4 linked regions of the Arabidopsis thaliana genome follow. The protein of the gene in region 3 interacts with the protein of the main gene of each other region in a biochemical or structural test. Each region holds a gene or a part of one and is shown on either strand. Other genes may lie near its edges. The genes, in order: ICE1, SCRM2, HOS1 and CO.

Region 1 (4,883 bases), on a different chromosome or scaffold from region 3:
TTGATTCAGCACATTCACCAAATTGCTACCAAATGAAGGATATATCGACTACTTGGAAATAAGTTTTCCTTGCACACTAACCATTACCATTTAATTTGATGGAGTTAAAAATAAGCTTTAAGTTGTTCATATTCATCTTTAAAAAATTTCTAATGAGTAAGTTTATTTTGTTCAAGCCATGCTGGATTTATTGAAAACAAAGAGACTATTTTCATATATTTGCAAAGAAACAATATATTGAAACTGGTGAAATAGATACGTCATCCATTTCATCAAAGATCAATCTTCAAGATTCCTATGTGTATTATAGTAGCTTTAAAATAAAGTAAAACTAATATTGAATTATAATTCTTGGGAAGTGTTTATTATTGAAAATCAAATCATGTATAGCTACAGTAAATAAAAAGAAGTAGATAGAAAGAAAGAAAATGCAGTATAAATTTTTAATCTGTGTGAAATGAAAATTTGCAAAATCAATATTCATGAAACGGATAAAATGCACTACCGTACTTGATGCATAAATAAAAAATGGCTGTTTGTACCAATCCACATGTATTATATGCGTTTAACTAGGATTACCAATATTTTTGACCTCTATCCAATTCACCTTCTGCTCTTTTTGTTCTATCTAATTCCACATTCTACCCAATTTACCAAATTCAATTATTATATGTAATTACAATTTAAAATCAATAATTCATGTTTACTATTTCGCGATTAGAGTAAATCCGAGTTTAAAACCTTCCCAACAACATGTCAAAAACACTTTGAAAGCTTGGCCGAGTCTTAAAAAGTTTGACCGAGTCTTAAATTCAGATTTACTCAAATTTCGAAACAATAAACGCGAATTATTGATTATAAATTACAACTACAGAAATAAATGGAAATTGGTTATTTAGGTAGAATTTTATAGTTTGTATGAAATTAGAAAGAAGATAAAAAATACATAATGAATTGGGCTGAGGTCTACTACATAGTGATCCTAATTGAACCCATATAGTATGGGTGGACTGCAACAAACAGCCCATAAAAAAAAAAAAATTCAATGTTTATTAAAACCTTTAAATGAAGGAAACTAAGATAGATAGCCGGAGAACACGTTTAAATCTCCGGAATCTTAGCCGGTAGAAAAACAAATTCTCTAATAATAAAGCATAAACCAAAACTATATAAGCAAAAAGCCAATTTAAGGCACAAAGCCACAATTGAAACTAACAAAACTTTTTAGAAAATGAATCCCTAATTACTTCCTCTAGAAGACTAGAAAGCATATCGCAACACAACTATATTTTTTTGGGAACTCAATTTAGTTGATAATGGTGATAAACGCTACAATCATCAGAAAATTTGGAATTACTCGTCCTTACTTAATTAATGTTTAAAAGACTTATGAAATTAAACTATTTACTTACAAACTTGAGCTTGATGTGGCTTTGTTCAAGAAGCTTAGGAACCATCGAAAAGATGTCGACGCCGGTAAAGTCGAGATATGCGTTACAACATAATTATTTATAATTTTTTAAAAAAATACAAAAAATAAAAGGAAATATATTTAATAGTAAGAATATAAAATAAATTTTATTACCATCTTTTGAAAAAGAACTTTTAAGTACATAACAATAATTAGGTAATAATATGAGTTAAAGAAATGCATGGAAGACACGCGTTGCATGAATGATGCTAATTACACTTTGAAATTATCATCATCATCATTAACTTACTTAAACACTGTCTATATAAAGACAGAGACAGTGACAACAGAGACAGAGAGATAAGCTTAAGCCAAAATTAAGCAGAAAAATGGAGAAATAGTGACGGTGAGAGAGAGAGAGATACGGTAAACGAAGCAAAGCAAAGAGAGTCACGAGAAATCTGGGGTATGTGTTCAATGATAAAGCAATTTCATGGTGGCCGAAATTGAATCCATCAAAAAAAAAGTTTCAATTTTTGAAAGCTCTGAGAAATGAATCTATCATTCTCTCTCTCTATCTCTATCTTCCTTTTCAGATTTCGCTTCTTCAATTCATGAAATCCTCGTGATTCTACTTTAATGCTTCTCTTTTTTTACTTTTCCAAGTCTCTGAATATTCAAAGTATATATCTTTTGTTTTCAAACTTTTGCAGAATTGTCTTCAAGCTTCCAAATTTCAGTTAAAGGTCTCAACTTTGCAGAATTTTCCTCTAAAGGTTCAGACTTTGGGGTAAAGGTGTCAACTTTGGCGATGGGTCTTGACGGAAACAATGGTGGAGGGGTTTGGTTAAACGGTGGTGGTGGAGAAAGGGAAGAGAACGAGGAAGGTTCATGGGGAAGGAATCAAGAAGATGGTTCTTCTCAGTTTAAGCCTATGCTTGAAGGTGATTGGTTTAGTAGTAACCAACCACATCCACAAGATCTTCAGATGTTACAGAATCAGCCAGATTTCAGATACTTTGGTGGTTTTCCTTTTAACCCTAATGATAATCTTCTTCTTCAACACTCTATTGATTCTTCTTCTTCTTGTTCTCCTTCTCAAGCTTTTAGTCTTGACCCTTCTCAGCAAAATCAGTTCTTGTCAACTAACAACAACAAGGGTTGTCTTCTCAATGTTCCTTCTTCTGCAAACCCTTTTGATAATGCTTTTGAGTTTGGCTCTGAATCTGGTTTTCTTAACCAAATCCATGCTCCTATTTCGATGGGGTTTGGTTCTTTGACACAATTGGGGAACAGGGATTTGAGTTCTGTTCCTGATTTCTTGTCTGCTCGGTCACTTCTTGCGCCGGAAAGCAACAACAACAACACAATGTTGTGTGGTGGTTTCACAGCTCCGTTGGAGTTGGAAGGTTTTGGTAGTCCTGCTAATGGTGGTTTTGTTGGGAACAGAGCGAAAGTTCTGAAGCCTTTAGAGGTGTTAGCATCGTCTGGTGCACAGCCTACTCTGTTCCAGAAACGTGCAGCTATGCGTCAGAGCTCTGGAAGCAAAATGGGAAATTCGGAGAGTTCGGGAATGAGGAGGTTTAGTGATGATGGAGATATGGATGAGACTGGGATTGAGGTTTCTGGGTTGAACTATGAGTCTGATGAGATAAATGAGAGCGGTAAAGCGGCTGAGAGTGTTCAGATTGGAGGAGGAGGAAAGGGTAAGAAGAAAGGTATGCCTGCTAAGAATCTGATGGCTGAGAGGAGAAGGAGGAAGAAGCTTAATGATAGGCTTTATATGCTTAGATCAGTTGTCCCCAAGATCAGCAAAGTAAACACTTACTTTGTCTCTTTTATCTCCTTAAGAGCTTGTTTACTTGTTGCTGTTATAGAGAATTGTTGTGTTGTAGCTTTGTAGGGCCTTTGTTGTTGTCAAACTTTGCATGTAGTTGCTTTACTCTTTTGAGGAAGAGGCTCGTGATAGTGTTTTATGGATTTTCGATGAATTTGCAGATGGATAGAGCATCAATACTTGGAGATGCAATTGATTATCTGAAGGAACTTCTACAAAGGATCAATGATCTTCACAATGAACTTGAGTCAACTCCTCCTGGATCTTTGCCTCCAACTTCATCAAGCTTCCATCCGTTGACACCTACACCGCAAACTCTTTCTTGTCGTGTCAAGGAAGAGTTGTGTCCCTCTTCTTTACCAAGTCCTAAAGGCCAGCAAGCTAGAGTAAGGACTATATTCTGTATAACTTTTGCTTAGACTGGAAAGAAGAAAACAAAGATTCATGTTTGAGAGATTACTCTGCTTCTTTTTCACAGGTTGAGGTTAGATTAAGGGAAGGAAGAGCAGTGAACATTCATATGTTCTGTGGTCGTAGACCGGGTCTGTTGCTCGCTACCATGAAAGCTTTGGATAATCTTGGATTGGATGTTCAGCAAGCTGTGATCAGCTGTTTTAATGGGTTTGCCTTGGATGTTTTCCGCGCTGAGGTGATCTTCTACTCTCAGTTGAAAGGTTAAGGATTTGTAGAACAGTTTTAGTAGTAACATGTTTTCTTTTGTCTATCAGCAATGCCAAGAAGGACAAGAGATACTGCCTGATCAAATCAAAGCAGTGCTTTTCGATACAGCAGGGTATGCTGGTATGATCTGATCTGATCCTGACTTCGAGTCCATTAAGCATCTGTTGAAGCAGAGCTAGAAGAACTAAGTCCCTTTAAATCTGCAATTTTCTTCTCAACTTTTTTTCTTATGTCATAACTTCAATCTAAGCATGTAATGCAATTGCAAATGAGAGTTGTTTTTAAATTAAGCTTTTGAGAACTTGAGGTTGTTGTTGTTGGATACATAACTTCAACCTTTTATTAGCAATGTTAACTTCCATTTATGTTTCATCTTAAAGCTATGCTCAAGAATTTTTTTTAAAGTCTTCATCTTTGTTCATGAGTGAACTTCTCAAAGAAGACAGACAAAACATTTGCACATATACAGACAAAACAGTTATGTTAAAGGTATAGCTTTGGTATTAGCTGATGAAATGAGCTTTGATGATGTAAGAGTGAAGAAAAACATTGAGATTTTTAAGAAAAAACAGAGAAAAGAATGGTGAAGGAAGAGGCAGAGCAAAGAATAGACCCTACCATTTTGTTTGTTTTCTTCTTTAAATGCTTACTTAATGTTTTAAGAACTTTTATATACGTTGTATGTATCCGTACAAAAGAAAGATTTAGAGAGATAGAGAGGAGACATAGTTAATGGCGGTTAGAGATAGAAAGAGAGAGTCACGAGAACGTAGAGGATGTGATGAAGAAACGTAAAAGTGGTAGGTCCTTTGAATCTTTTAAAAACCTAACCTTTTTTATAGGGTTTTAATTTAGCTTCTCTGAATTTTTCTATGATTATAATGCATGTAGTAATGAAGTCCTCGTGATTCTAGTTTTTAGTGATGTCCTCTTGATGATCCAAGCCGTTTGGTA
Region 2 (4,432 bases), on a different chromosome or scaffold from region 3:
TTTCAACACCGGATCTATGCTTCTGAAAGCTGTGACGGACTTTTCTGCATCCATTCCCTAAAAACACAAGCCATATATGTAGTTAACCCGGCCACTCGGTGGTTTCGACAACTTCCTCCGGCTAGGTTTCAGATTTTGATGCAAAAGTTATACCCCACTCAAGACACTTGGATTGACATAAAACCAGTAGTCTGTTATACAGCATTCGTGAAGGCCAATGATTACAAATTAGTGTGGTTGTATAATTCTGATGCCTCGAATCCAAACCTGGGAGTTACAAAGTGCGAGGTTTTTGATTTTAGGGCAAACGCTTGGAGGTACTTGACTTGCACTCCAAGCTATCGGATATTCCCTGACCAAGTACCAGCAGCTACAAACGGGTCTATTTATTGGTTCACGGAACCATATAATGGCGAAATAAAAGTGGTAGCTCTCGATATTCACACTGAAACGTTTCGTGTGCTACCTAAGATTAATCCGGCCATTGCTAGTTCAGATCCTGACCATATCGACATGTGCACTTTGGATAATGGTTTGTGCATGTCGAAAAGAGAATCGGATACGTTGGTCCAAGAGATATGGAGGTTAAAATCATCAGAAGACTCATGGGAGAAGGTTTATACCATAGATTTGCTTTCTTGTTCTTCTTCTTCTTTATCTGAGTTCCGCGATGGATTTAATTGGACACGAAAAGATTTGGTTGAGCCATCCACACCAGTGGCGATATGCAAGGACAAGAAGATTCTGCTCTCACATCGCTATGCCCGCAATATGATCAAATACGATCCCCAAATAAAATCTATCAGTTTAATTTACCAACCTCCTTTGTGTAGAAGATATGCTTCTTATTTTCAGAGTTTGATCTCTCATATATAAAATGCTTTGATGTATTTGGAAGCATGTAATGTAAGAAACAAAGCATTAATTGTTTGGATTGTTATATTATCCGATAGCATGCTGTTATTCATAAATCATAATAAACCATACTTATTTCGCCAAATGACACTATACTTACCAAAAATCATACTACTTTATGAAATGATACAGATTTTTCAAAAAAATGAGGACGAGTATTTTCGTTAATCCACACAAAAATCAGTTTCATTCTGTGTGTGGATGTAAAAGGAAGATGAAATATAGATTTTATCTTAAAGGGACCATTGCCTCGTTGTTAAAAAAAAGGGACCATTGCATCCGACATCTTTTATCCGTATTAATCTTGAAATGTTTATTCAATATACTTTGTTGCAAGATTTTTTTTTATTCAATATACTTTTGTTATTCATGTCAAAAAAAATTTGATTAATAGCCAATCTATGTAACAATCTAAACACAAGTTTGCCGCTACAATTAATATGAGTCTATGACACACATCACAAAGTTTTGAGAGATTAAAATTCTTTAGTCCCAAATACTTCAAATATAGAAAAAAACTACAATTTTTCTTTTCAAAATTTGTTTATTTTACGGTGACAATTTTTATGATTGCCAACCAAATCCCACATTATTAAGTTTTTCAACCAAACTGAACTGTATACTTATTTTGATTATTAACGGTCGGATTTAGCTTTAACTAAATCATCTTCCTAAGCTCTATCACTGAAATAATTCTGCAGACAAAAAAAAATGAGAGAGAGGTGGCAAAGATGAAGTGGAGGTGAGAGACGGAAAGCAAAAACAATAGTCACGAGAATCAACACCAACTCTTAAACCAAGATAGACCAAGAAACCAAACAGAGTAAATAAATGGTGGCCTTGACAACATTGAAATCCCCAAAAATCTCAACTTTTTAGGGTTTTCGAGCTCTGAAATCTCTCTATCTTTCTTCTTCAGATTTCTCACTTTTTTCTTCTTCATAAGATCCTCGTGATTCCACTTTATAACGTACGCCTCCTTTCAAGAAAAATCTCTCTCTATATTATCTACGTTTCTCTCGCCTTGTCTCCTTTTGAGGTTCCATTTCTACTTCTCTCCAAAATTCGAAACTTTTCCCACTCTCTCTCTCTCTCTACTAGTTTGACATGAACAGCGACGGTGTTTGGCTTGACGGCTCCGGTGAATCTCCGGAAGTTAATAACGGTGAAGCTGCGTCTTGGGTCAGAAACCCAGATGAAGACTGGTTCAATAACCCACCACCACCACAACACACTAATCAAAACGACTTCAGATTCAATGGTGGCTTTCCTTTAAACCCCTCAGAGAATCTGCTTCTTCTTCTTCAGCAATCGATTGATTCTTCTTCTTCTTCTTCTCCGTTATTACATCCTTTCACACTCGACGCTGCTTCACAGCAACAACAACAACAACAACAACAACAGGAACAGTCTTTCTTAGCTACGAAAGCTTGTATAGTTTCTCTTCTCAACGTCCCAACCATCAATAACAACACTTTCGATGACTTCGGCTTTGACTCTGGTTTCTTAGGACAACAATTCCATGGAAATCATCAATCTCCGAACTCGATGAATTTCACTGGCTTAAACCACTCAGTACCGGATTTTCTTCCAGCTCCGGAAAACAGCTCAGGATCATGTGGATTGAGTCCTCTGTTCTCAAACAGAGCAAAGGTTTTAAAACCGTTACAGGTAATGGCTTCATCTGGCTCGCAGCCAACTCTGTTTCAGAAACGAGCTGCAATGCGTCAGAGCTCGAGTAGCAAAATGTGCAATTCTGAGAGTTCTTCTGAAATGAGGAAATCGAGCTACGAGAGAGAGATTGACGATACTAGTACCGGAATCATCGATATCTCTGGATTGAATTACGAATCTGATGACCATAATACTAATAACAACAAAGGTAAGAAGAAAGGAATGCCTGCAAAGAATCTTATGGCTGAGAGAAGAAGAAGGAAGAAGCTTAATGATAGGCTTTACATGCTTAGATCAGTTGTTCCCAAGATCAGCAAAGTAACCAAAAAGATTCTTCCTTTTTTCTCTTTGTTCTCCTTAATAACTTCTTGTGTCACTAATTTTGGGTTGCAAATGTAGATGGATAGAGCATCAATACTTGGAGATGCTATTGATTACCTCAAAGAGCTTTTACAAAGAATCAACGATCTTCACACCGAACTTGAATCTACTCCACCGAGTTCTTCAAGCTTGCATCCGTTAACACCGACTCCACAAACGCTGTCTTACCGTGTTAAGGAAGAGTTGTGTCCATCTTCCTCCTTGCCAAGTCCTAAAGGCCAACAACCAAGAGTAAGAATAAGCTCAATTGCTTTCTAGTGGACAAAGCTGTATTCTTTAATTTTCTTAGTAACGCTTCTTTGTTTTGATATAGGTTGAGGTTAGATTAAGAGAAGGAAAGGCAGTGAACATACACATGTTCTGTGGACGTAGACCAGGTCTTTTACTTTCCACCATGAGAGCTTTGGATAACTTAGGATTGGATGTTCAACAAGCGGTGATTAGCTGTTTCAATGGTTTTGCTTTGGATGTTTTCCGCGCTGAGGTAATATAGTTGTTAAGATGCTATGCTGATCACTGATTAGTAAAACTAGCAGTCAAAGAATAGTTATTTGAGAGAATGATTAGTATACAAGTAACAACATGTTTTGTGTTTCTAATCAGCAATGTCAAGAAGACCATGACGTGTTACCTGAACAAATCAAAGCAGTGCTTTTAGATACAGCAGGTTACGCTGGTTTGGTTTGATTGCGAAGCAGAAGGAAGCATCTGTGTGGAACAGAGCTAGATCTAAGTCCTTGTTCTGTTTTAGTCAGCAATTTTCTTACTTAGTTTCATCAATTTCAATCATGTATGGAAGATGATAACTGTTTTATTTTAGCTATGAGAACATGTGTTTGGGGAACAATAGTTGCAACCTTTGAGCAAAATGCCATTGTTTCTCAATAATTCTACTTTGCTTTTCATTTATATGTTGTTTGCAAGAAGAGAGCAATGTTGATTTTCATTGATAAAACACACATGAGTCTGTCATGAGAAAAGGCTAAACAAAATATTAAGAAATGCACAATTCATAGGCAAACGCTCTGATATATCAATTTTTCAGAACAGAGATGAATCTCTATGTAAAATTCATATTCTTTATAAATGTCTGAGCTTGGTTCAGTTTAGTAAGATTTGGTTTGTGCCGTGGGCGACTGAAGATGTTAAAGACAAAAACATAATGGAACCAGATAAACTTGGCTAATTGGTAAGAATTAAAAGAAAATCTATGGTATAAATCTTCTCCCATGTGTCTTCTGATGATTTCTTCAGCCTCCAAATATTTTGGATCAGCTTATCTCCTTCTCTTTTCGACATGCACAAAGCATTATCCAGAGTGTATATATGGCTAGGATCTAAACTAGCAATAGCGGGAACTATCTTTGGCAGCAACCGGAATTTTTCTGTAATGATATCGAAAACTATTACTTTGATTTCAGCATTATATAGCTCTGTGAACCAATAAAGCGTCCCGTTTACA
Region 3 (7,758 bases):
GCGGAGGCAGATGTTGCGGAAACGAGACAATAAGCATTTGTGAGTTTGGAAAAGACACCAATTTCGCAATTATTGTTATCATATTGAAGACCTGCCAAAAACAAGAACAGAAAAAAAAAGAACAATCCTGTAAGCAACTTGAAAAGAAAGCATCGTATAAAAAGCTAAAGCTTAAGGGAAACTCACGAGTCGCCATGATATGGATCCAACAAACACCTGCGGAATTAAGTAACACGAAAACCTAATATGAGATTATGAATTTCAATACAGATCCAAGGCAGAAACAGAGAATGAAAGATTTAGGTTTTCGGATCATTGGTTATGCTATATTGAAAGATTTAGTTTTAAGGTTTACCTTGTCGACAAATCGGAACAAAAAGTGACGGAACGATAGGAAGAGACCCTATTCTCTCTTCCGAAAACCCTATTTATATATCAGAAACTTGGAACAAGCTTATGCTACTTATTTCCATTTATTAGTTTTGGTAAATAATAAAAAAGTTAAAAATTAAAATTTTGAGAGGAAATTGTGAATGTAAAAAGAAAATGATTTAATCTCAATGTGTTGTTATAACTTCTACGATTCAACAATCAGCTGCACCAATATAAGAAATTAAACATACTCATAATAATAATATCACTCCGCTCATCACAATGATATCTTTAAAATAACTGTCCAAAAAAGGTAGACTAGAGAAGAAATACACAAAATTCAGCACAAAAAATAACAGGAGAACAACGCTCACTGTAACAGTCTCTCTCCCCTCTTTACACAACTTGCTCTACCTCTCTCTCTCTTTCTCTATGCTTTAAACATAATTGATGATGGTCTTTTCGAGTGTTTGTTTCATTTCATCTTGCTGCGAATCTACGTCTCCTCCTTCCCTTCACCGGCATGGAACCAAAACTAGTCAGTTCATCTTCGTCATCGCTTGTTTCATCTGACCGCCATCTCAATCCACCACTGTTATTTCTGCTCTCCGTGGCCAAGACATTGTTGTTGTTGTCCTTTAAGCTGCAATTCATAATACACACAATTGATATGTAGCTCATCCAATATAAGACTAAAAGCCGTGGACATAAGAACCAAACAAAGTTCCTTAGACTGAAACCAAACTGGACTTTATTTTCAAACCAAACGGTAACAATAGTTTTATACCAAACAATACCAGTGTCCTCTACTTTAATGGCACGATTCAGAAAGGAACAAATGGCTAAGAGATAAAGAAGAGAGGAATACCTCGAAGACATGTCCATTGGATCATCCAAATCAACAAAGTTATCTTTGTCTGGTTGCATCCTTGTGCCAAAAAAGGTGGATTCCGGTTTCTGTGAAGATCCATTGAGATGGTTGCTGCTAGATTTCACTGTCACGGGATTGTTAGCTGTGATTCGGCGGAGATAAGGAGAGCTCATATTATTCTCTATGTATCTATCAACATTTACTTCTGGAGAGGATTCTTCAGTCCTTTTCCCTTGGAGCTGGCTGTTCCCACGAGCTCTATTTAGATCTTTGAACGGAGTTGACATTTCACCGAATTTCAGATTCTTGGTTACGCTTCTAACTTCACTCTTTTGTCCTCTATTTGCGTTTGTAAATAACCTTCCATGTGAAAGATCATGGGACGCGTTTCCTATCATATGACCAGGTTGAAAAGGACTGCCATTATTAGCCACTGGCTCTCTAGCTCTGGCATTGTTAGCACTTTGGAGAAAAACGGAATTAGTAGTGGCAAAGGGAACTGAAGAAGTAATCATGTCAGGTGCATCAGGAAGATCAGATTTTTTTGCTCCTTCAGAGGCATCTTCCATCTCAGAAAATTGTCCAGATCTAACTTGCTGCTGCTGAATTACTGGAAGTATATCTATGGCTCTATCCTGTTTCAAAGGAGCAGAGACACGGGAGGTTTAAATGTCCAGTTAAAAAAAGCCAGTATCAAGTAATATTGTACATTCAAGTTTCAGAATACTAGACAATCCTGCAAGCATCAACAGGTTATTAAGCACTAAAACGCAAATGTGAGGATGTAGCCTTTAACAAGGAACTATGGAAGGATCCACTTGTACATGGAAAGTTGGCTGAAATACTTACAACTAACTCTTTTCTCCAATGACTCTGTGATCGCATTCTGAACATAACTTCTTCCCCAATTTGATTGTCGGATACGAAAGCCTCTTCGATTTTCTGAAGCCTAAGATCGACTTGGTATGCCTGGATGTAACGGTAGCGCTGCAGCAATGTGAACAACCAGTAATTTCTAGTCAAAGAAAGACCATATACAAAAGATAATAACTTTCCAGAAAATAAGCATGGTCTATAGTGATGCAGTTTCCCTGGTTGTTCAAATAATTTCATGCTTGTTAACCAACATCCCAGACTACACCAAGCTCGAATTATAAAAGATTGTTGAAGCCACACATCAAATACGAGAACATATACCAGTCTCTATAGAATGAGCTAATTCTATACAGAGCCATCATTGAGATCCCTTATTAAAATTTTCAATATGTAGCTTAAAGCTCGGGAGGTTTAAGCTGCTGTCTAAATATCTATTTGCCTGTTGCTAAAGCTATTCTCGTTCTGAAAAACAATTCTCAGCCCATTGTTCAAGTGAAGTTATTTAAAGTTTGAAAATATAATTACTTACCTGAAGATAAAAGACAACCAAGAGACTACCCACAGCTGATGAGGGGTCATCAGTTGCCGAATCTAATAAGCATCTGTGCAGATATTTCTCCTCATCTGGGTTCCACGGTAACTCAATGATTCGATCAACCAAGTTTCTCCGAATAGAAAGACAGCAGAATTCATTGACAAGTATCTCCATCCATTCCGTCCAACTCCAGATGTCTAGATCATCAGACGCATGTTTCACAGCTCCATTTTTCAAATTATTTTCCTTTACTTTCAAGCAGAGTGTCCTTTGGTATGTGAATGCTTCACTCAAAAGACCACATTCCACTCTCACACGAAGAGCTGTGACAGCTTCACCAATTGAAACCAATTCTGATACACCATCACGACCAGACCAACGCAAGACCATAAGAGCTGTTTCAGGGTTATCCCTTTCTAACAGGACTTGCGCAACTTTGGGGTAGGTTTCTGGACCGCATATTTCAGGTAGAATCCTACAAGCTTCCTGAAATATAATTTGGAAAGTTTGTAAGCTACACCAATTAATAAATGTATGGCACAATAAAATACACGTTTCTATAAGTTTTCCTTGGGAATGCCAAAAGATACCTGGAGTGCCTCCTCTGAGTGATCATCGAGAAGATAAAATACAAAAGACTCCAGCAATGAATGCCTCGTTATGCCAAACGTAGCAGCAAAATCATCTATAGTGTGCTTCCAATATTTTTCAGGGGTAGTCCAATGCCGATCAAACAGGTAGTAAAGAAACTATCTTCTGGTTAAGGAAACCAGCGTAAAGGAAAAACATGGGAATGTTTCCTGATTCAAGTATTCATTAAAAGTAAAGTGCAATGTAATGTGAAACTAGGCGATGACAAAAGGATACAATTGCTTGCTTCGCAACAACCAAATCTGAACCGCCATGTAAAAAGAGCATGTCAGCAGCAGTTCTAAGATTCTCAAATGGATAAGATCCTGAAGTTCCCTCTATTTTGGACCTAAGAAATGATCTCTTATCCTTCTGTAAACGTCCAACTTCTAGGTCGGCACCTATTTCCTGACTGTATTCTGGCTCTCTCTCAAGATTTTCTAAAGCATCCTCAATAAAGAGGGAAGCACTCTGTACACTGCAATCTGAAGACTGGTCTACAGCATCAGGCCATGCACGCTTAACTGCATTTGATTTTCTTTCCCCTACCAGTGCATTCCACGATGTGAAATTCGAATATCGAGACCTCACATCATCCAGAAATCCATGTCTGATGCACCAGACCATTATGTCCAAATGCTGAAATAAAATAAAAAGAATAGGGTAAGCACACGTAAGCTCAGTGATCTTGCACCAATAGCTAAAGAGCTGATCTATTTAAAACACTCTCTGGTCAGAAGCCATAAGGTTATACTCATTTACTATTCAGTATGTCATATAAAGATAGGTTACATATACCCCATCTACATTCACTAATATGCAATGACATTAAAAAAGAAAAGAAGAATAAAGTCACAAAGCTAGGGATAGAAAATCAGATCCAAGCTGATGATGGAAGACCATTATCGTGCCTTTCATACATCTAAATGCAAAGCTTTTACAGTACAAACTTTACTGCAAGCCGTATACAAAACAAGTAACTCATTCTATGACAGAGGCAAACTAAACATTAATGCACGTAGGAAACTTCAATGTACAACGGATATTTCTAAGGGGGATAAAGAGAGTTATTTAAGCATACTTTTGCAAAACTGTTTGGATATCAATGAAATGAAATCATGGCTGACCTGCTTTGTTTTACCAATGTTCTCTCTCAGCGTCTGCACATCTTGAAGCTGAGGTGACACAGAACCCTTAAAAGCTGATTCCATAACTTCGAGCACACTACATATGCCAGCCACCTGTTTGGAACACCTTAGGAGTTTATCTAACCACGCTTGCATCTCTTTTGTTTCAAGATTATCTGAGGGCCAATATTAAAGATAGACAGACCTTACGGTGCACAAATATACAGTCTTAAGAAACATAAAAATATTAACAGCTAAAAGGATACAGATTTCTTGAAGTTCAGCTAAGGTGCTCCGGAATGTACGCTTGACCCAATCCTTGACAACAACTTCATCCAGCAAGAAAGCAATGACCGGATCACTAGATACAGCTGTCTCATCCATACAGACATTGGTGATATCTATTAATTTTCTGTCAAGGAGATGTCAACTATGCATCCAACATAAAATACCTCTTAGAGAATGAATGACAAAAACACTATGCACATTTCGCCCAACAGAGACAAGCATGAAACAAGAACTACCTAAAAATACATGAACCTATCAGTACAAAACTCCCCATATAAACACAGTTCCTAATAGCACAAGCATACGAATCTAAAAGAAATTCATGAAAGTATCAAACAGGAAACTAAAAGACTAAATGCATATATCAGACACCAAGCATAAATGCAACTGAAGGATACAATGGCAAACCACCGAGATCAAATTATTGTTCATAGCAACATCAAACAGAGAATAAAGGCGATGAACATCAGCTGCCAATTGATGTTCATCCTCATCCGAATCCTGTGACGCCTCTTCATGTGTTCGGGAAATCAAACCAGCTTCAACACACTCATAATAGAGACGAAGCCTAAGTCTATCTCCAAATTTTGGTAGCGTACTTCTACAGATAGGACAAACATCACACCTCTGACAACACTCTGTGCACAAGGAGGCATGACCACATGGATTCAACACATAGTTCACAAATCTTCCACAGCTAGCTAAGTCTCTTGTTGCACGACATCGCTCAACTTTTGCCTCATTACATAATTCTCTGAGGTTTATAGATGCCAAATGTTTCAACGCCTCCTGTAAGTTACAAACAATAAATTCGAAATTAACTCTAAGCTCTGCAAAACCCATTTTTTTAAGCTGAACCTAGAAATCCTAAGACCTGAGCTAAACTAATTCAGTGGAGAAATAAAAAGGTATAAAGCGGAAGAACCTGAACAGGCTTGCTACTGTAATTAGGCTGCGTAGGAAGAGATATCGATCTCGCGGCGGAGGCAAAACCGTTGATTTCTCTCGTATCCATCTACTCCGGTGACGAATACAAAAATGGAGGTAAAGAGAGAAAAAGCGTGGTTGGTGTTGGCGAGAGTGATAAAACCAGTCTAGGGCTCCGTTGAGCTTTCTCGGGAGGGAAGACGAAGAGAGGAAACACTGTTGAGTGAATTTCTCCTCAAACGGGTCAAGTCGGATTGTTTAATTCGGGTCAAATTTTAAATATGGGCCTTTCTTTTTGAAGTCTTGTGTGAATCTTGTGATTGTCTGGGCCCAAGTCGGCAAATCACGATTCGGGTCAAAATTTAAATATGGGCCTTTGTTTTTGAAGTCTTGTGTGAATCTTGTGATTGTCTGGGCCCAAGTCGGCAAATCACGTGTCCGAAAGTGAACAGCGCGTGTTTTACCGACTTGCTAAGAAAGCGCGTGGATCGTTCTTTCTTTAGTTTCTCTTCCTTTCCCAATTGCTTCCACGACGACGGAGGAGGAGAAGCAAACCCAGAAACCTTAAAAATTCAGAAAAAGGGACGACCTTTTTTCCGATCTTATCGATTTTTGAATGAGATTAGAAGAACCTATCTTCTAAGTTTTTCTTTGATATCTTTTTCTCTTTGATCGATGGATGAGTCGTTCGCTAATCTACAATCAAGCCATTTGCTTGGTTCAGTTCCGGTAAGTCTATATTACATCTATTGCTTCTTTCATTTCACCATCAATAAGCTCTTTGATTGAGTTTTTCTATGATCCTTGTTTGTGTGAAGGGAAAATTAACGTTTTTTGTTCATGCCATCATTTTGTTTGTTGTTCTGTCTCAAGTGTTACATTAGGAAGTAGAATTTTGAAACTTTTCAGATTTTTTTGTCATATTTTTTCGCGTCCACGATGATGCCTAAAGTCTTCACACTCATAGAACAATGGACGATTTCCTTATTTGCATTTCTGGGTTTCTATATTTGTTAAGGCGTTTTATTTAAGTTTTTTCACCATTTTAGGAGACAATTCGTATGAAAAACAAAACTGTATTTGAGTTTAAATGCTTGCATGATAGCTTCATTTTGGATTGAATCCGCTAAGATAAATGTTTTGAGTGAATGGATTGACTATCCCCGTGTTATTATGTCTGATACAAACATCTGTATTCTTAGGCTGTGATCAGCGACGACAAGAGAAGCACAAATGTACCAATAGCAAGCGTCAATGAAGGTGTGTTCTTTTGCTAGTTTCTGCTTGAATTATCTTTTGCAAAGAACTTTTCCGGTAGTGAAAGACATTGAGTGTTGTATGTCTTCTGCATTATTGCAGGCCCTTCTGCAAGCATGCAAATATTTCCACCGAATCTAGGAAACAATACAAAGGGTTATCAAACTCTTGAGAGCCCAACAGGTATATATGCTCCTTTTAGATTCCTTTTTTAGGAGATATTTTTATCTGTAGTCACCATGAATCAGTACAATGGTTGAAAGAATACTTGTGTGAGTCAACCTCGTTTTTCTTATGGATGTCAAGATCCTATATACCTTTGTTTTCACCTTGTTCTGTCTTATATGGTGATATATCTTATCTGCTCCAGTAGAAGGACCAGCACAACAGCCATCAAACAACTGGAAGGGCTTTTTTAATGTCTACTCATATACCCAATACTTCGACGTGGACACGGACGTTGTTTTGAACAGATTAATGAGCTCTTTATATCCTACTAGTGGAGATTTTTTCAACAAGATTGATGCAAACCCTGATTTGTAAGTCTTTTAATGCCTTTTTCTCCTTCACTCTTCTTGGTGATTGTACTTACCATGAGAGAGTTCTTTCGAATTTCTTTAATCGGTCCATTGCTCAGTCATGCCGTTAATTTGTTACCGTTCTAAGTGTTATCTTCTGCACCTTTCCGAAAGCATGATCTTGCTATTCATTTACTCCTATGTTACTTCAGGCGATTGATTAAAATATCCTCATTTTCTCTTGGACAAATGAACAGAAAGCATCATAATATGTTATCCTCTAAAGATTGGCTAAAAGCTAGGCCTTTCACAAATTATTCTTGATTAATGACTCGTGTGTGCTTCTGTTAGGTATGG
Region 4 (5,364 bases), on a different chromosome or scaffold from region 3:
GCTTAGAATAACTCATCGTGAATGATAAGATTATTATCTTTTGATAAGATAAAGATAGAAAATGATCATGCAACAACAAAAAAGGAAACTTCCTGAAAGAAGATAAGCTTAGTTCGGAAGACTACTTGGGCCGTCCCCTGAAACAGAAGTTTATCGCGCAAGAATAATTGGGCCTTATATCAGATCCTTTGGCCCAGCCCGTTAGTATTAGACAAGACCAGTTGCGTGCGTCATTGTTGAATATTTCGAAGTTTGATGATCGATCGTCGCTCAAAATTTAGGGCTTTTCACTTCACAATCCCGATTTGGGGTTTTCTGGTAAACTCCTTTAATCTCAGCTCGTCAGACAAAATCGATCTGGGATGAATTTGGATCTAATTGAGCAAAAAATTGTGTTTTTTCAATCTATTGAATTTCACATCCTTAAACCCTTGCATATTCAATCTATTGAATTTCGCATATTTTTCCTCAAATTTATCCAAAATCATCCCAAATCTATTGTGACGGGTTGAAAGTAAGTTTCTTTATCGAAAATCAGTTTGAATGAATGTTAGGGTTTATATTTTGATGGTGACTGATTCCGATTTGTATAAATGTTAGGGTTTATACTGGTTTCTGACTCTCTGGTAAGTATAGAGATGATTATATATTAAATGGTGTTTTAAGGCGTGTTCAGATATAGCTGTGCTTGTGTTGTTCTGTTTTGGCATTTTTCATTTGTTCTGTCTTTACTTCTTCTTAGTCAGTCTGTGGATTTCCTTTGTAATGGTTATTGGTTAGTTAGGAACTACTCTCAGGCCTTCTTCACATGACACCAAAGTTTTTTGTGGATTATGTGGAGGAAATTGCTATTTTAGTATATGGTCATTGAAGCAAGATAAGAACCTTAGAAAGCAGAGTGTTATAATTTTTCTGTCAAACTCATGCTGTAGTTGCAGACTTTTTCCTACTTCAGATTAAGGAGAATGGTTTTTTTTTTGTAAGCAAGAAGTTAAAAGAGTGAGAATCTATGAAGGCCCAGGGACCATGTAAAGTTTGGGAATGGTTTTAAAATTTGATGGCTTTGAGAATCGATCTGAACTATCCTTAGATTTTTGGAAAAGTGCAAAAAAGTGCAAAGTGCAGCATCCTTATATCACTTTATGAACTTTTCACGTGAGGTCTCGAATCCATCACTTAACATTAACACATAGTATAAGCTATACACTTGGTTGTTATTACTTATTTCTTCTTACAGTTCTTGAAGCCGAGAACATATATGGCTGATGGTTTCTACAATTAGGAACGTGATATGACTCATTTTAGTAAGAAGTTGTGATTTACAGCTGAGGAGTCTGTGTTATCAACTTGAATTGTAGAATCTTTTTGTTGTCAGGGAGGCGTGAAAGTGTCACATGTTCAGGTTATCGGGAAGTTATTGGCTTTGAACCTTGGCTTCCCTCTTAGTAGTTAGCAAGGTGAAATCTGCGTTTTCACTTCTTGATGATCCATATTTCACAAATGGGGATCTGTACCAATTAGACTGGTTTTGTTTAACTAATGCAGAGAAAGAAGAATACTATAGTTTTAATTAGCCAAAACTACAAACCCATTTGCACAACAGTAGTAATACTTCTTGAAGCTAAGAATTTCACCAAACCTAACATAATCTCAAACTAAAAGTAATTTACAGCTTGCAATCTAGTTTTTCTTTTTGCCACAGGAGTATCAGAATGAAGGAACAATCCCATATCCTGTGTTGTACATTAGCATCGTGTTGAACCCTTGCTCCTCGGCTTCGATTTCTCTCTTTGCGAACCGGCCATTGACCCGCGGTCTTATCTCTGCATATGCCTTCCTCGAAGCATACCTTATTGTCTTCTCAAATTTCCTTGTCTTCCTCTTCTCTCTGTATCTCAGGACCCTGGCTTCTCTGTCCATTGGACTGAGTTGTGTTACTGTTATCATCTGGCTTGCAGGGTCAGGTTGTTGCTCTACTGTCCCTTTGGGCGTTCTTGGGTGTGAAGCTGTTGTGACACATGCTGTTGACTCCGGCACAACACCAGTTTCCATGGATGAAATGTATGCCTAATGACAGAAACAAAGACATTCTCAATCCCCCTGGTAAGAGGACTAAAGAGAGTCGATGCAAAAGGAAGCATATATTGTTTTTATTATAGACTTCTGGTGAAATTTCTATGTGCTATAGATCAACTGTTGGCAGTGGATCAGTGGATTTGTGTGTATGATGAAAGAATTCACCCTGCTGCGTTATGGGAAGATGCTAAATTGAAGGGGTAACAAATATACAAAAGCCTTACGTTATGGTTAATGGAACCATTGTCGTTGTAGTGAGTCCCTGAGGAGCCATATTTGATATTGAACTGAAAATTCTGTTGGTTATGGCACTGGTGGCCCCTTGATTCTTCAAGTTTAAGCGGAACAACTCTATCTCCCCCGTAGCTCGTCTGTGGTACGCTGCAGTTTTGTTGGTGTTGACTGTATTCACCTGTGAATTTGTAGTCCATACTCGAGTTGTAATCCACAAGGTTTAGATACTCATCACTAAACAATAACCCATTGTTTTGGTTATTGTTATTTTTGTCTGAATTAGGGAACAGCCACGAAGCAACCTCCTTGGCATCCTTATCACCTTCTTCACCTTCCTCTTGATCCACCACCAGTCTCTTCTCTGGATCGGTCATTGTTTTCTCGCTTTGGTGGTGAGTAGTGGTCATGGAGCTGAAAGAGTTTCCAGAAATTGGTAGAATTGGAACTCGCTGATGGCGTCTAGCAAGTGGGTTTGCAGAATGAACCTCTGAATCACAGGCTGTGCATAGAGAGGCATCATCTGCCTCACACAAAAAAGCAGCCGGAGCACGCTCACATGACTCGCAGACCCGGACACGTTTATGGCGGGAAGCAACGCGATTGGCAGAGTGAACTTGAGCATCACAGCTCATGCACAAGTAGGCAGAATCTGCATGGCAATACACGGTGCAGGCGTTTGACCGGCATGTGTCACAGGGTCGTGCCCTGTTGTTCTCTCCACTACCTATGTCGTTACTCTCTTGTTTCAACATAATAACTCAGATGTAGTAAGTTTGATGGTGTGGGAGCTGGTATCTGAAAGAAGGGGCTAATAAAGCTTATATCTGGTGTGAGAGAATAAGTAGAGGGGAGATCGAATCCTGAGTGCCTACACGTGGCACAGCGTTAGTGGCTCTTACATGTTATTGGATCCTCTTGCAGCTAGTTGAGCTTTTGGGAAGGCCTATGTGTAAAGTGTAAAGTGTAAAGTGTAAAGTGTAAACATCTCCTCCTATGCACTTCTTCGTTGGGACCCGTTCACAAGTTGCTTAGGTTTTGCCACTTGCCATACTGAGATTCTCAAGAGGAAGTGGTCCGGATAATGCCATGGTGTTGCAGGCAAATTGTTACTATTTTTTCGTATCACCTTTTACTATTTTCATATGCATTTTATTTAAAGTAAAGCTAGATTCGTTTTATCTCTTTGGCTTTATACAAAGTTTAAGTGGTTGAATATTCATCCTGAACCTTGTGATTACTGTTCAGGTATCTCTCCGAGTAAGGCTTCGAGTGTCAGAGCCATCACCAACTGTTATGGGTTGACTACCTATACAAAGGTTAGACAAACTCGTGAATATGGTATAGTTGTTGTTCCATTATTTGTGAATGCATCTGCATCATTTAGAAAGATTTGCAATTGAAACTTTCGAAGGATTTTCTGATGAAAAGTGTTATAATGTTTAATCTGGTTCATAAAGTCATGGTAATGAGAATCATATCGGAAAAGTGACATGAAAAACATAGAGACGGTGGATTTTCTAGGATCAAACTCGAATCCGCCAAGTAGTCTTGAGACTACAAATTAGAATTTACCTGACGCACAAGTTAAAACTTAAAAGGCATTTTGGAGTCCACATGAGCAATAATTAGATTTATCATATATAGTATGTAGAAATTTGCACTTGGTAACCATTATAGTAAGTAGTTACAAAACATGACTCATGAGTGTTGTCACATCTCTGTAATTTGGGTTTATGATGATACTCTATACTATTTATTGTAGCTTTATTAGATCTCAACCTGTGGAAGTAATCTAATACAAACGACACTTGTATGGAATTTTCAGGACATGTTTCTAAGATCACAGAGGTAATTGTGAAGTTTTCTGCTACACTCATTTACTAGTCCACATGATCCATAGATGCAATTTAACCATCTTCACTCTATTTGGTGACCCATTCATGTGTTTAGCATCGTGGGTTTTCCTGTACTAATAACCATTAGTACTTGGAGTTGCCTTGTTGGTGTTATGCTCATAATGTTTACTATGTGGAAGCTACAGGATACGATACTCTCTAGGTTTGAGGACTAGCTCCAGTTACGCTTTTGGGTCCAGTGAATGTATGATACCCATTATGTGGTCCAAAAAGAATGAGATTTGACGGACGCTCTAGTGGCCAAATTCATATGGCTACCTTCACTCTATGCCTTAAGAGCTGAAAAGTGAGTGTTTTTTTTTTGTATAAAATGCTGGTCCTAGGATACACTTTTCGCATCTCTTCCTCTTTCATATTTGCTTACACCGCACTTCTCTTTCCCATTTTGAACTTTAAACTTTGAAAAGTTTTTTTTTGCTTGGTAATTGGAACTTAACATACAAGTTCTTGTTATTTACTGGTTTTACGATGAATGTAATGGCATTTAGAATTGTTATGAAATGGTTATATGATCATTGAATTCTAAAGAAAAGATTCTAGGTTCTTTAGTAAGCATTTTTGGAGATCTTTATCCTGCCAAGTTGGATAAGTTGAGGCATCTTTGGCTTTTAGTGCTTTGGTGATGAAATTTTTTGGAGATTGTAACGTGGTTCGAGTTCATGAAGAGTAAATTGTGTATTGGCCTTTTCACTTGTAGCTCAAGAAAAAAGTAGTTTTGCTTATTATTGCTCGTTGACAGTCTCTAATTAAGTTTATTGTTGTAGCGGTTTGGAACTTCTCTCACATGTGTAGGCCTTCGGATAACTGTTACGAGTAATAGATCATATGTAACAATATCCTCAAAGTTGCATCGAGATTTTCAAGAAAACACTATTGCTTATTTGTTTTCATTCTTTATCAGGTTTCCGTGGTTTCGAATACTTTGCTTCTTTCAGATTAACGAAAACCCTATTTAGTTGCAAAGACTGAGAAGAGAATAAGAGTCGAGGGACCATATAAAGCTTGTAATTGTACGTTTATGCGGATTCTCCACTTTCCATGGCTGTGAGAAACTATCTGAGGAAAAGTGCAGTGACCTTTGGCAAAAGGTAATCACTTTTATGCACTTTCACGTGCTAGCTCGAATCCACACCAAATA

The links.
Region 1: the proteins of HOS1 (region 3) and ICE1 form a complex in vitro, tested with the Arabidopsis thaliana proteins (4 studies listed by BioGRID, with this or other methods).
Region 2: the proteins of HOS1 (region 3) and SCRM2 form a complex in vitro, tested with the Arabidopsis thaliana proteins (one study listed by BioGRID).
Region 4: the proteins of HOS1 (region 3) and CO form a complex in vitro, tested with the Arabidopsis thaliana proteins (2 studies listed by BioGRID).

The regions. Positions count from the first base shown.
Region 1 is NC_003074.8:9,832,130-9,837,012, reverse strand, and holds ICE1 (basic helix-loop-helix (bHLH) DNA-binding superfamily protein), read left to right. Parts: upstream 1-1,740; 5' UTR 1,741-1,877; exon of another isoform or gene 1,878-2,124; 5' UTR 2,125-2,222; coding exon 2,223-3,227; coding exon of another isoform or gene 3,228-3,314; exon of another isoform or gene 3,315-3,409; coding exon 3,410-3,634; intron 3,635-3,726; coding exon 3,727-3,897; coding exon of another isoform or gene 3,898-3,927; exon of another isoform or gene 3,928-3,976; coding exon 3,977-4,060; 3' UTR 4,061-4,346; downstream 4,347-4,883.
Region 2 is NC_003070.9:4,382,736-4,387,167, forward strand, and holds SCRM2 (basic helix-loop-helix (bHLH) DNA-binding superfamily protein), read left to right. Parts: upstream 1-1,568; 5' UTR 1,569-2,022; coding exon 2,023-2,907; coding exon of another isoform or gene 2,908-2,988; coding exon 2,989-3,201; intron 3,202-3,283; coding exon 3,284-3,454; coding exon of another isoform or gene 3,455-3,463; exon of another isoform or gene 3,464-3,573; coding exon 3,574-3,657; 3' UTR 3,658-3,916; downstream 3,917-4,432. Other genes in the region: AT1G12855 (F-box family protein), read left to right, coding at 1-876; AT1G12870 (F-box and associated interaction domains-containing protein), read right to left, coding at 4,394-4,432. UniProt on the Arabidopsis thaliana protein: Mediates stomatal differentiation in the epidermis probably by controlling successive roles of SPCH, MUTE, and FAMA. Functions as a dimer with SPCH during stomatal initiation.
Region 3 is NC_003071.7:16,610,897-16,618,654, reverse strand, and holds HOS1 (ubiquitin-protein ligase), read right to left. Parts: upstream 5,879-7,758; 5' UTR 5,715-5,878; coding exon 5,625-5,714; intron 5,489-5,624; coding exon 5,098-5,488; intron 4,813-5,097; coding exon 4,678-4,812; intron 4,588-4,677; coding exon 4,412-4,587; intron 3,924-4,411; coding exon 3,522-3,923; intron 3,404-3,521; coding exon 3,245-3,403; intron 3,141-3,244; coding exon 2,649-3,140; intron 2,231-2,648; coding exon 2,093-2,230; intron 1,879-2,092; coding exon 1,241-1,878; intron 1,016-1,240; coding exon 853-1,015; 3' UTR 533-852; downstream 1-532. Other genes in the region: eIF6B (Translation initiation factor IF6), read right to left, coding at 1-91, 187-196; AT2G39805 (Integral membrane Yip1 family protein), read left to right, coding at 6,302-6,355, 6,829-6,886, 6,986-7,066, 7,254-7,422, 7,753-7,758. UniProt on the Arabidopsis thaliana protein: E3 ubiquitin-protein ligase that mediates ubiquitination and subsequent proteasomal degradation of the transcription factor ICE1. Acts as a negative regulator of cold signaling pathways.
Region 4 is NC_003076.8:5,169,636-5,174,999, forward strand, and holds CO (B-box type zinc finger protein with CCT domain-containing protein), read right to left. Parts: upstream 3,451-5,364; 5' UTR 3,063-3,450; coding exon 2,301-3,062; coding exon of another isoform or gene 2,160-2,300; exon of another isoform or gene 2,068-2,159; coding exon 1,708-2,067; coding exon of another isoform or gene 1,703-1,707; 3' UTR 1,414-1,702; coding exon of another isoform or gene 1,376-1,413; 3' UTR 1,269-1,375; coding exon of another isoform or gene 1,259-1,268; 3' UTR 527-1,258; downstream 1-526. Other genes in the region: AT5G15843 (uncharacterized protein), read left to right, coding at 1,259-1,268, 1,376-1,413, 1,703-2,061, 2,160-2,276, 2,594-2,747. UniProt on the Arabidopsis thaliana protein: Transcription factor that acts in the long day flowering pathway and may mediate between the circadian clock and the control of flowering.